3 linked regions of the Schizosaccharomyces pombe genome follow. The protein of the gene in region 3 interacts with the protein of the main gene of each other region in a pairwise test. Each region holds a gene or a part of one and is shown on either strand. Other genes may lie near its edges.

Evidence for each region.
Region 1: the proteins of rpn502 (region 3) and rpt1 interact in a two-hybrid assay, tested with the Schizosaccharomyces pombe proteins (one study listed by BioGRID).
Region 2: the proteins of rpn502 (region 3) and rpn9 interact in a two-hybrid assay, tested with the Schizosaccharomyces pombe proteins (one study listed by BioGRID).

Annotation. Positions count from the first base shown.
Region 1 is NC_003423.3:4,341,040-4,345,179, forward strand, and holds rpt1 (proteasome regulatory subunit Rpt1), read right to left. Parts: upstream 2,342-4,140; 5' UTR 2,330-2,341; coding exon 2,216-2,329; intron 2,160-2,215; coding exon 2,078-2,159; intron 1,883-2,077; coding exon 762-1,882; 3' UTR 584-761; downstream 1-583. Other genes in the region: vacuolar protein sorting receptor vps10, read left to right, coding at 1-413; qcr6 (ubiquinol-cytochrome-c reductase complex subunit 8), read right to left, coding at 3,518-3,696, 3,744-3,932, 3,989-4,060. UniProt on the Schizosaccharomyces pombe protein: The 26S proteasome is involved in the ATP-dependent degradation of ubiquitinated proteins. The regulatory (or ATPase) complex confers ATP dependency and substrate specificity to the 26S complex.
Region 2 is NC_003424.3:2,042,004-2,045,750, forward strand, and holds rpn9 (19S proteasome regulatory subunit Rpn9), read left to right. Parts: upstream 1-1,804; 5' UTR 1,805-1,838; coding exon 1,839-1,951; exon of another isoform or gene 1,952-2,005; coding exon 2,006-3,038; 3' UTR 3,039-3,156; downstream 3,157-3,747. Other genes in the region: arg82 (inositol polyphosphate kinase), read left to right, coding at 487-1,293; SPOM_SPAC607.06C (metallopeptidase), read right to left, coding at 3,207-3,242, 3,281-3,747. UniProt on the Schizosaccharomyces pombe protein: Acts as a regulatory subunit of the 26S proteasome which is involved in the ATP-dependent degradation of ubiquitinated proteins.
Region 3 is NC_003424.3:4,908,791-4,912,922, reverse strand, and holds rpn502 (19S proteasome regulatory subunit Rpn502), read left to right. Parts: upstream 1-2,047; coding exon 2,048-2,131; intron 2,132-2,178; coding exon 2,179-3,426; 3' UTR 3,427-3,556; downstream 3,557-4,132. Other genes in the region: plasma membrane malate/succinate:proton symporter Mae1, read right to left, coding at 1-626; rsm22-cox11 tandem protein cox1102, read right to left, coding at 3,684-4,132. UniProt on the Schizosaccharomyces pombe protein: Acts as a regulatory subunit of the 26S proteasome which is involved in the ATP-dependent degradation of ubiquitinated proteins. Required for proper proteasome assembly.

The sequences.
Region 1 (4,140 bases), on a different chromosome or scaffold from region 3:
TAACAGAATGTGAAGGTGGGGTACCTTTGGACGCTGGAACGCTTCATCCATGTCCCGGCAAAGAAGATGATTATTACAAAGCTCATCCAAAACCTGGAGGATGGAGTATCTTTTTGACTATTATATTCTCTATCCTGCTGGCTGCAGTGGCTGGTTGCATTCTTTATTATTATTCTCGTCGTTTCCTTAAAGGTGCTATAAGACTTGGTTCTGATTCAGCGACTGAAAATCCTTTGGAATCAGGCATATCGTACACAAGAGGAGCTTTTTCATCAATTCCAATATTCTTTTCCGCTCTTTACCAAAGCGTTCGGTCACTGTTTATAAGATCTACACCGACGAATGGTGAATTTGAAAATGCGGCATTCCTTCAAAATTATGAGATAGATGATGATGACGAAGAGTCAGTTTGATTTAACTTAACCTGGGCATGTTTGTCAATCATTCCACTCATCATGTAAAGCAGCTATGCCACGTTCTTATATTAATGATCAGTTGATATATATGGTAGTTTAATGTATAAATATATATATTTACATACATACACTCATGCACATACGTGTAGTATAATGAACGAAATTTTCTTTCATGCCAACGTTGCAACCTGTCATTTATTACATAAGATATCAAACAAAGCTTTCTAATACGTTTCTAGTTCGAACAGCTAAAGTGACCAGGCAACAAAATTTTGAAGTTTTTTAATTCATTTGCGGGATAAACCTATGAAATCTCATAAAGAATGGCGTAATAAAGGAAATTATCTAAGAGCTCATGTTCATATAATCAGCAGTACTGCTAAACTTTTGGTTACCTTTTACAACCTTTTGAACGGCGTCAAGGAAATCCTTTTCGGTAGCAACTCTTCTTCTAGCACGAATCGCAAACATTCCAGCCTCAGTGCATACAGAACGAAGCTCTGCACCAGTTTGTGAAGGGCATAACCGTGCAATTAATTCCCAACGAATATCCTTGTCAATCGCCATACTTTTAGCGTGGATGCGTAAAATATGAGCACGACCTTCTAAATCAGGTAAACCAAACTCAACTTTACGATCTATACGACCGGGACGCATCAAAGCTTCATCCAAGGTATTTGGTCTGTTGGTCGCAAACAGAACTTTAATGTTACCACGAGGGTCGAATCCATCCAACTGGGTAATTAATTCAAGCATTGTTCTTTGAACTTCATTATCACCACCTGCTCCATCATCAAAGCGAGCCCCGCCAATAGCGTCAATTTCGTCAAAAAAGATAATACATGCTTTTTTAGTTCGTGCCATTTCAAATAATTCTCTAACCATACGAGCACCTTCACCGACATATTTTTGAACCAACTCGGAACCGATTACACGAATAAAAGTTGCATCAGTCCGATTGGCAACAGCACGAGCACATAGTGTCTTACCAGTCCCTGGTGGTCCATAAAGCATAATACCCTTGGGAGGGTCAATACCAAGCTTAACAAATCTTTCGGGAGATAGTAAAGGAAGCTCGACGACTTCGCGAAGTCTTTCTATTTGTTCTTTACAACCACCCACATCTCCGTAAGTAACATCTGGCTTTTCTTCAACTTGCATCATAGTAACTGAAGGATCAATTTTGGGAGGAAGAGGAAGCTGAATAGCATATTTGTTACGATCACAACCGACACGCATCCCTTCTTCAATATCGGTGGGACTAACTCGTTCACCTAAACTGACAACAAATTTTGCAATCTGTTTCAAATTAATGACATATGCATTTTTCTCCGCAGATTGTTCATTCTCAATAATTTTGGTACATCTGGCAACCTGTAAAGGTTGTTCTTCACTCATCCTTTGGCGGTCCGCAGCAACGTCCCAAAATGAAATTGGTGCTAGACCAGTGTCAGACTCCTTAATTCCTAGGGCTAGTTAGCAATAGAACAACGGGTTAAGCAAATTTCATATAAAATGAGAGCATTTTACATGATAAAAAATTGTAAAAATACATCCTGTTCATGAATGTCATATCTTGTAGTTCATATCAGCTATATGAACTACAGGAACGCCATTCATCAGACAACATCGTGCAACTGCTTTCTCGACATAAAACATACCAACAGTATCATTAATTCTTTTTAACACAGCCTCTGTATCTTCTTTAATAGCTGCTAATTCTCTAGCATATGGGCCTGTAGCCTACATTGACATTTAGTATGCTGCTGGTGACAAATTCAATCATTAATGTAACTTACGTAGCTTTTTAAGAGCTCGATGTCTCCTTCGTCTAAAGGTGGTGGATTTTTATCATTTTCTTCTTCCGTATCAACTGGCTTTTGGTATTTCTCCCAATCTTCTTTAGGTGGCATTGTAGTTGGTTCAGTATAGGTACAGGTATATTCGACACATTATACTAACCTAGAGGCCACCCAAAGTCGCAATGTTACCTGATTTATAATTCTGCAAATATTGCTAAGAAATTTACTTGGTAAAAACCGATTTAAATTATAGCATTAGTAAGTGTGAATACTATTTCCCTCTATTTCCATTGAAAAATTTCCTAATCTTTTTTAGTATGAACTGAATAGGTGCCTTGTTTTTGTGGAAAATTGGAAAAGTGGTTAGGCAAATCGTACATTGATATTTACAAAACCAAATAAATTTATTAAAATATACAGATCGCTTGAGAGTAAATTTAAATCTATCAAATTGTTATTTTGTATTAGGCGCAATTATAAATTCTCGGATTATGACCGGGTTATAAATTGATTATTGCAACTGCAATACTCCCAATTAATATGATACTATGGGAGCAATTAAAAAAAAAAAAAAAATACATATATATATATATATATTTTTTTTTCTACATAAAGCAAAAAAGGGTGCAGAAAGTCACTCGAAACAAAAAAAGTTATTTCCTGAATTATTTTTTTTTGTATTTTCTTTCCTAATGCATTAGCCTTTGTAGTATATATGTTCAATTCTCTTTTATATAAAATATAATAAAAAAGGTGGAACAGGATTATTAAGCATGTAATGCTTTTCCTTCCTAAATACCCGCAACTCTTAAAGTGTTCAAGTCATTTCAACATTTCCTGGTCCCATAATAAAATTTCGTAATTTATTTCTGTATTGATACAACCCTACTACTAAATCAGTAAACCCGGTCCTTTCCTTTGAGCGTCCTAGGGACAAATCGGTAAGCAAAAACCTCTAAATAGTTTTCAAACTTTAGTAACTCACATAATACCCTCAAAGTAAGTGTACTAAGACTATTGGGATTACCGGTCATCATTTACTTATCTAATGTACGCTCTATAAACCGAAAAATTATTGGAATATAAAAATAGAATCGAAAGTTGAAAACTAAATTTACTACCTTAACGTAGGTCGATATCATCTACAAAACGTTAGGGAATCATCTTAATCCATTTTTTACATAAAAAAAGGAATGTTATTTTAGGAATAGATACCAACATTAAGGTAGTATTACGAATGCCTCCTAAAATTGAATCATATAATTCCATTCGTTCGACCTTACCAAGCGTTAAATGCATTTAAACCAAAACCTTAAAGACTTTAGGATCGGCACAATCACGAGCGCAATGGTAAAGATGAAAAAACTCTTCAATACAGTCTTCAGACTTGTCGCCCTGCTCTACCTTCTTTGTAACACGGGCAGTACATTCTTCAAAATGGTGTTTCACTTCCTTGCAATCTGGTGCATCCATGCATTCTAAAAAATGTTAGCAAGAAACAGTACACCCATTCAAATAAGCGAACCTTGAGTCATTTTTTCCAAAGGATCAGTAATTTCTTCTTCTTCTTCTTCTTCTTCTTCCTCTTCCCCTCCTTCTTGGGGTTCCTCAGCTTCTTCCTTTGGAGGTTCCTCAGGTTCCTTGGCCTCCTTTCCTTCCTTTTCTTCAGGTTGAGGGGGTTCAGTCTTTACTTCTTCAGGGGGTTGAATGGTTTCTGAACAATCCCATGATTAATACGAATTTTATCAAAATCAACGCTTCAATACTTACCCTTTTTCTCCTCTTTTTCATCGGCCCCTTTACCCTGTGCTCCTTTGGCATCATCTGCCGAGACAATAGGTTCTACCACATTATTAGCATCACTTCAATAACGCACTATAGAACGTCTACAAAAACGGTTCATAACAGATACTGTTATACCA
Region 2 (3,747 bases), 2.9 Mb from region 3:
GTGTGTAAATTGTAATTTAGCTAAAATATTTTCCCTTAGTGGTTTGGAATATAGGTTTTTAATAATATTATAATTTATAAAAACTTTGCAAAACACTTTCTAAATAATATCCAAAAAAGTTTATACTTTCTGTTAAATTCATACTTCGATCTCCAGGCTACAACTTTATCTACTGTAAAAAAAGCTGAATAAATTAACAGCGAGTACATACACATTTGGATATGTGTTTAGGAAATTCATTGTTTTATATTATTAGATAAAATTTTACACTTATTTATTCAGCTCATATAACCTGCATGTTCGTGCAAGCAGTGGAAGTGGTTGATATAGCTCTACACTATTTCAATTCATTCTACATTCCGCTTACCCAACAGCTGTCACATCGAAAATAACGCTTCAGCATATTGCTAAACGCGTATTGCAATTTTCAAGAAATATACTTTTGACGAAAAAACATGTACTAGCGGATTTTTTCTTTAACTCTTGATGAAACTAAAACTGTTTCCATTTCAAGCTGCTGGTCATGGCCAAGTACTAGTCAGTGAGGATGATAAAATTCTAATTAAGCCATGCATTAAAAGTGAAGTTGATTTTTATAAAACATGTAACGACAATATTACGCTCTACAACTGGATTCCTAAGAATTTCGGTGAGTGGATGCCTTCTAGTAGAGACATTGAGGGTATCAACCCGATCGCAGAAAGTGTTGCTTTTTCCTTAACTGGAAAAGCTATAATCTTAGAAAATATTCTGTATCAGATGGAAACTCCTTGTGTCATGGATATCAAATTAGGAAAACAGTTGTGGGCCGATGACGCTCCTCTTGAAAAACGAAAAAGATTAGATGCCGTTTCCAGAAGTACGACGAGTGGTAGTCTTGGATTTCGTATAACTGGTATATTGTCGTGGGACAGAACAAACAATACGTACATTAAACGATCAACAGCTTGGGGTAAAACCCTTACGGATTCAGATGTCGTAGAAGGCTTAAATGATTTTTTTGTCTCTTGCTCTCTTTCTCAAAAAGCAAGGTTGGTTGAAAGCTTCCTTAATTTATTGAAATTATTTGAAGTTGATCTTTCTGAGTCTTATATTGAATTAAAATCTTCTAGTATTCTTTTCGTTTATGATTACTCTTCCCTAAATCCAACGTATCATTGTGAAAGCAATGTAGTTCTCAAGCTGATAGATTTGGCACATTCTAGATGGACGAAAAACACTATAGACCATAACACATTAATTGGGGTTAAAAACTTAATTCACTGTTTTGCGATGCTCCTGAAGAATGAATAATTGAATACTGACATGATAAATTCCTTTAAAAGAAAAGTAATTTTTTTAATCATTGCTGGTTAAAGCTAATTAATTTATCTGTATAGTATTCCACTATAACTATTATAAAAATGATACCTTATTTATTTTTTTGAGTGATCGTGAAGTATTGATTTGTTATAGAAAAGAAAATAATTTTTATTCTTCGTTTATTTTATGAAAATTTTCAGAAAGGTTATCTACCCTTTTTATTTTTGGTAAGATAAAGATCTTATTCCACAAACGAACTACTTAAAAAACAGTCAGTTTTCTCTTAATAAAATAGTTCGTTTACTTATAGAAGTTTGCTTTATACCTTGCGTTGTTTTCATAGAGGTTACTAAAGCATGCTTTACTTATATGCTTTCAAATACGCTTTAACTTTTTTTTTAATAATAATTTTAACTAACATAATGAAAATAAAATAAATATGCTTATATTTCTCCATTTACCTAAAGTTTCAAACAGTAGTAATATGACTTGAGCACTTGCCATCAGCAAACAACTACTCCACGAAGGATTTCATCATGGATACCGAAATGTCTGTCAATATGTCTGATTTTTTACACGATCAAGCTACAAGAGCTCCAGAAAGCCTTCAGCAATCCTATATTTTAATGGAAGACCTTTATGAAAGGAAGTATGTTGTAAAAGTGCTTTAGAAGAAAATGAACTTTACATTAACTGACGCCAGATTATGGAAACAACTTACAGATGCTTTGATTGTTTTCTTTGATACCCCAGAAACAGTACCTTTAAGGCTTCCTTTGTATACGAACTTTGTCAACTCATTTCGACCTAATATCAATCAACTCAAAGCAGTGTACATGGGCTTAAAGGCTTTTGAGTCATGTTCTAACGACGAAGCCCTTCGTAATTTAAACCAAATTGTTAACGAATTGGATGAAGAGAAATATAAAGATGCCTATGTATATTCCATTGTTGCCATTGCTCGCATCAAGCTGATTAGTGGTAAGTTGGATGAAGCCCGGGAACTACTTGTCAAAGCCTCAAAAATTATCGACCACATTGATTACGTAGAAAGTCTTATTCATTCTTCATATTATAGCGTCAGTGCAGACTACTACAAGGCAAAGGCTGATTATGCTCAATACTATCGTCATTGTCTATTGTATTTATCTTGCATCGACCTCGATAAATGCTCTCATACCGAGTTAGTTGAAAGAGCGGTGGATCTAAGTGTTGCCGCAATACTCGGTGATATTTATAATTTTGGTGAATTATTATTACATCCTGTTTTCGAGTTGCTAGTAGGTACACAGCACGAGTGGTTACATGATTTAGTCATCGCCATGAATGTCGGAGATTTACCTTTGTTTGAACGCTTAATGGGGCAAATTAACAAAATGCCTTTACTGCAAAGTTCGGTTGCTTTACTAGGTCAAAAAATTCGTTTAATGGCCCTCATTGAGTTGGTCTTCCAATTACCTCCAAATCAGCGTACTTTAACATTTGATACAATTGCTCGTGCAACCCGTATTCCTTCTAATGAAGTTGAGTTACTCATTATGCGTGCTTTAAGCGTAGGGCTTATAACAGGTGTTATAGATGAGGTTACCCAAATTGTCACCATTTCTTCCGTCCAATCTAGAATTTTAAATCACTCGCAAATTGCAAGCATGGAATCTCGTCTACGAGAATGGAACCAAAATATTAAGAACCTTTCTAATGTGGTTGAAATTTCTGGAAAAGGTGTTTTCGTTTGATGACTACAAAACTCATTGTTTAAAAGACAAGACATGCTATAAAGTAAATAGAACTATTTTTCTATACATTATTATACATTTCAGTGTAGTAATTTTATTAGTTGTAAACATGGTACGTAATTTCATTCTCCTTAAGCAATTGTATTCAATTAGTATTCAGAATTCAAGCTACTTAATAAAAAACCCAATTGAATCCATGAATGGCTATTAATGTTAGATCAATAATATAAAAAAAAACTTACCCCTAATGTGCCATAAAACCCGACTAATTGAAAACCTTTTGGGACTAAATAGCTTTTCAACCCACCCCCGTTAGCATTTCCATAAAATGGACTTGTTTTACCATTTTCTAAAACAATGGATATCCCATCCACCCAGGCTCCACAACGTATTTGAAAGCCTACAATTTGGGAGCCTTGTATTTCAAAATCGTGAGGGCTTCCACCACGGTTACCAAGAAGAACTGATTCATCACCAAAAAATACTTCAATTCCATCCAAAGCTAAACCACAATGAACACGAATTTTAGTAGGCTTAAACTTTTCAGGTGCTATTAAAATATTTGATAACTCTTTCCCATTACAACCTCGCAAACCATATCTTTCAGATCGATAAACAGTTCCAAAAGACGATTCAACCTTCGCATTTTTTATAATTTCAGGTACATTGTTTAAATCAATACATTTGAAATTTCTGGATAGAACGCGAA
Region 3 (4,132 bases):
ATACCAAAGATAACCATATTTTTTAATTGATGAGCGGGTTGTGTAGAATTGACGGCGCCAGCAATGACACCACAAATCATAGGAGGGAAAATAGGAAGAATCCAAGCAGGAGATGCGGTTTCAATGGTATATACATGGTTGTTGAAAATTGTAAAAAAAGCCATTACGCAGTATATAAAGGATACTGCAACGTAAATGTAATAAAGGATTCGAATGACCCACACCATCCACTCGCCGGTATCAGGATAGGCGTATATGGCAAGCATGTCGATGAACGTGGATATTGAAAGAAGACAAGTAGCAATGAAAAGCTTTTCCAAATGATGGTTCCAGGAATCCTTGATAGTTGAAGGATATTTAATAAAGCGAAAAAGCATGCATGATCCAAAGAGAGAAAACAAAAAGATTTGAAGAATATAAACAATTTTGCCAATTGTATTAAGACCATAAAATCGAAAGGGGAAAGAACCAATAATCAAACCAACACCACCAGTTGCCATAGTACATGCAAACCAAGACCATGTAAAATGCTTCAGTCGTTGACTGAGAGGGACATGAGGGGCTTTGACATTCCAGTCAAGCAACTCATGATACCTCTGTTTCAAGATTTCCTTGAGTTCACCCATGTCGAATCGAGAGATAAAGGGGAATTAAAAAAAAAAATAGTGGCCAAGAGAGAAAATGAAGAATGAATATAATATAATATAATATAAGGAGAAAAAGGAACAAAAAGGAAAAGACGGAGGAAGGAAAGAGACAACCAATTGCTAGCAATTTATCTGTGAGTCTAATCGCACATGTTAGTTATCGTGATGAAAATAAAAAATGATAGAGAGTGTAAAAAATGAATGACTGGCTGTTGCTAGTCTTAGTAAATGAGGCAAACTGCCGATACAGAAGTAGGATGAGAAATCAAACAAAAAGTCTAGTGCAGCAACAAATAAGCTTATTTTGTGTAGCAAACAAGTAAAAGAAAACAAAAATAGAACAAACAAATAGTGATCAACTTAGAAATCAACAAGAAAAGATGCATACAAATCCAAATTTCCAAGATTTTCGAGGGGCAACTTTCTACCAACAGATTGCAACGTTGATCCTCATCGCAAACAAACTGGCACTACACAACAAAAAGCCAAACTATACAGTCATCCTACAAAACAAAAACTTACCGATGGACCTGGCCAACCCAACAACTTCAGCAATGAATGACTGACTGGATAAGTCAAATTCGAGCCACTATATTTATATCTCTTGGAAGCTTAACGAATTTAACCAACCTGCTGTCAAATGCACAAACCTTCGCTAACCTTGTGAGAGTGGAGATAGCAAAATTTTTTCTTTTATGCCGAGGAGATGCTAATTATGCTGCTATGAAGTCGGTCAAGAGTAAATCTGGTCCTTATATGACGCAAGCTAGATCTAGATTAATGCTATAGGCATACGAAACTTTGGTATTAAAAAAAAAAAAAAAAAAAAAAAAAAAAAAAAAAACTAACTCAGTATAACAATATTGACAATAATAATATACCGAACCTGTGGTGTTTTTCCAGACTTGGCATCATAATAATTGGCCTAATTTTTCTGCAGGTCAAAGGTGCTTTTGGGAAGGGAAGTTCCATTTTCTCTCAATAGGCCACGAACTCGGTCTTTCAATTCCCTGCATTTTTGTATCCGCTATCGCTAATGTGGGTCCAGTAACAAGGGAGTGTGATTTTAGAGTCAGTTAGATGGAAAAGCTATCATTTACTGCCTAAAAGCAGTTCGAAATCTCGGATCTACGAACTAAGAAGCCGAACGGCTCATTCGCGTTATCAACGGGTATCTATGTATATAGACGGATCGTTACCCGTGATTATCAATAAACGGATCTTAGCTAGTATTCCAACATATGACATATAGTGATACGCAACGTAGTGTATCATAGCGTAGAGTAGTATTGCTGACAACTAAAGTATTTTGCGAGCGTGCGGTACAACTCTGTAATCATAAGAAATCAACTCGCAATATTAGTCTCAATTGTACACTCTCCAACAACCCACATATCGAAATGGAACAGAAACCGGAAGTTGATTACTCAGAGAAGTTTGCAGAGTTACAAAAAAGTTTAAATAACCTTAATACCATAGACATCGTACGTAAAAATCAAAATTTTGACTAATCTCTAACTTGTAATTGTAGGATGCGAACCTCGAGAAGCTTTTGATTTTTGAGAAGCAAGTTCGTCAGGCTTCTGACACCAGCACGAATACGAAAGTATTAATATACATTGCTGATTTGCTCTTTCGAGCTGGTGATTTCCAAGGCTTAAACGAACAGTTGGTTAGTCTCTTTAAAAAGCATGGCCAACTGAAACAATCGATGACAAGTTTAGTCCAACATGTAATGACCTATCTTCCTGGAATTGACGATTTAAAAACAAAAATTAATTTGATTGAAACATTGCGTACTATTACTGATGGAAAGATATATGTGGAAGTAGAAAGGGCACGTCTTACACAACTGCTTTCCCAGATTAAAGAAGAGCAAGGTGACATCAAATCTGCCCAGGAGATCTTGTGTAATGAACCAGTAGAGACTTACGGATCTTTTGATTTGAAGGAAAAAGTTGCATTCATTTTGGATCAAGTTAGATTATTCTTACTGAGGTCTGATTACTACATGGCATCTACTTACACGAAGAAAATAAATGTTAAGTTTTTTGAAAAGGAAGACGTCCAGTCTTTAAAACTTAAGTATTATGAGCAAAAAATCCGAATTGGTTTGCACGACGATGCATATCTTGATGTTTGTAAATATTATCGAGCAGTTTATGACACCGCCGTGGTTCAAGAGGACCCCGAGAAATGGAAAGAAATATTAGAAAATGTCGTTTGCTTTGCCTTGCTTACTCCTTATGATAACGAGCAGGCAGATCTTCTTCACCGAATTAATGCTGACCATAAACTAAATTCTCTTCCTTTACTCCAACAATTGGTTAAGTGCTTTATTGTCAATGAACTAATGAGATGGCCCAAAATTGCCGAAATCTATGGAAGTGCTTTAAGGAGTAATCCTGTTTTTGCTGAAAATGACGAAAAAGGTGAGAAACGTTGGTCTGAACTTCGTAAGCGAGTCATCGAACACAATATTCGTGTAGTCGCAAACTATTATTCCCGCATTCATTGCAGTCGTCTAGGAGTGTTGTTGGATATGAGTCCTTCCGAAACAGAACAATTTCTTTGCGACCTTATTGCAAAGCATCATTTCTATGCCAAGATTGATCGCCCAGCTCAAGTCATTTCATTCAAGAAATCTCAAAATGTGCAAGAGCAATTGAATGAGTGGGGTTCCAATATTACTGAACTTCTTGGAAAATTGGAAAAGGTAAGACAGCTTATTATAAAAGAAGAAATGATGAATTCTATTCAACAGGCGGTAGCCAAATAAATTGTTCCGTCTCTATTTCATTTCGTTACTTTCATGACTTTGTCATTTAAATAATATACTATTGGTTCAAAGGCCTTCAACTTTTTTTACGAGAATACAATAGTTTTAATGTCGAATTGCAACCTCGGAGAAAGTTATTCTAGTAAGTTTGTAGTGATTTTCGTTGTTATTTGTCTCGTAACTAGAAGGTTAACTTGATGAATTATTTTAAATAAATTATTGTAGTTCACTCAATATGTAGTCCCTTAATTTTTATTTCAGTTGAGTTTAGTTAAAAGATTGCCATTGGTATCATATCTGGCCTCAAAAAAAGTATAGCTTAGAAGAATATCGTCAATATCCTTCATATTTGGATCATCAGCAAATTCTGGATCTATAAAGAAAAACACAGGCAAGTCTACTTTTTCATGAGCATCTAGCTTTTGCTCTTCAAAGCAAAAGCATGCAACCTTTGAGAAGTAAACAGCGGCTTGACCTGGTACTATATTATAAGTTGCAACTCCTACTATGTCATGGTCGGACGTATTTTCAGCAGTATAAAACCCTAGAGCAGTCTCGCCTGGAAGAACATATATTTCACGCTGCTGGGGCCAAAGCTTCCAGCTAAGGTTTCCTGCAACGTCGCCATTGAAAGTAACTCTGATTCTTTTATTGTCTTTACGAGGAACCATTCTTTCTGCATTCATACGACTTTGGTCGGTATTAA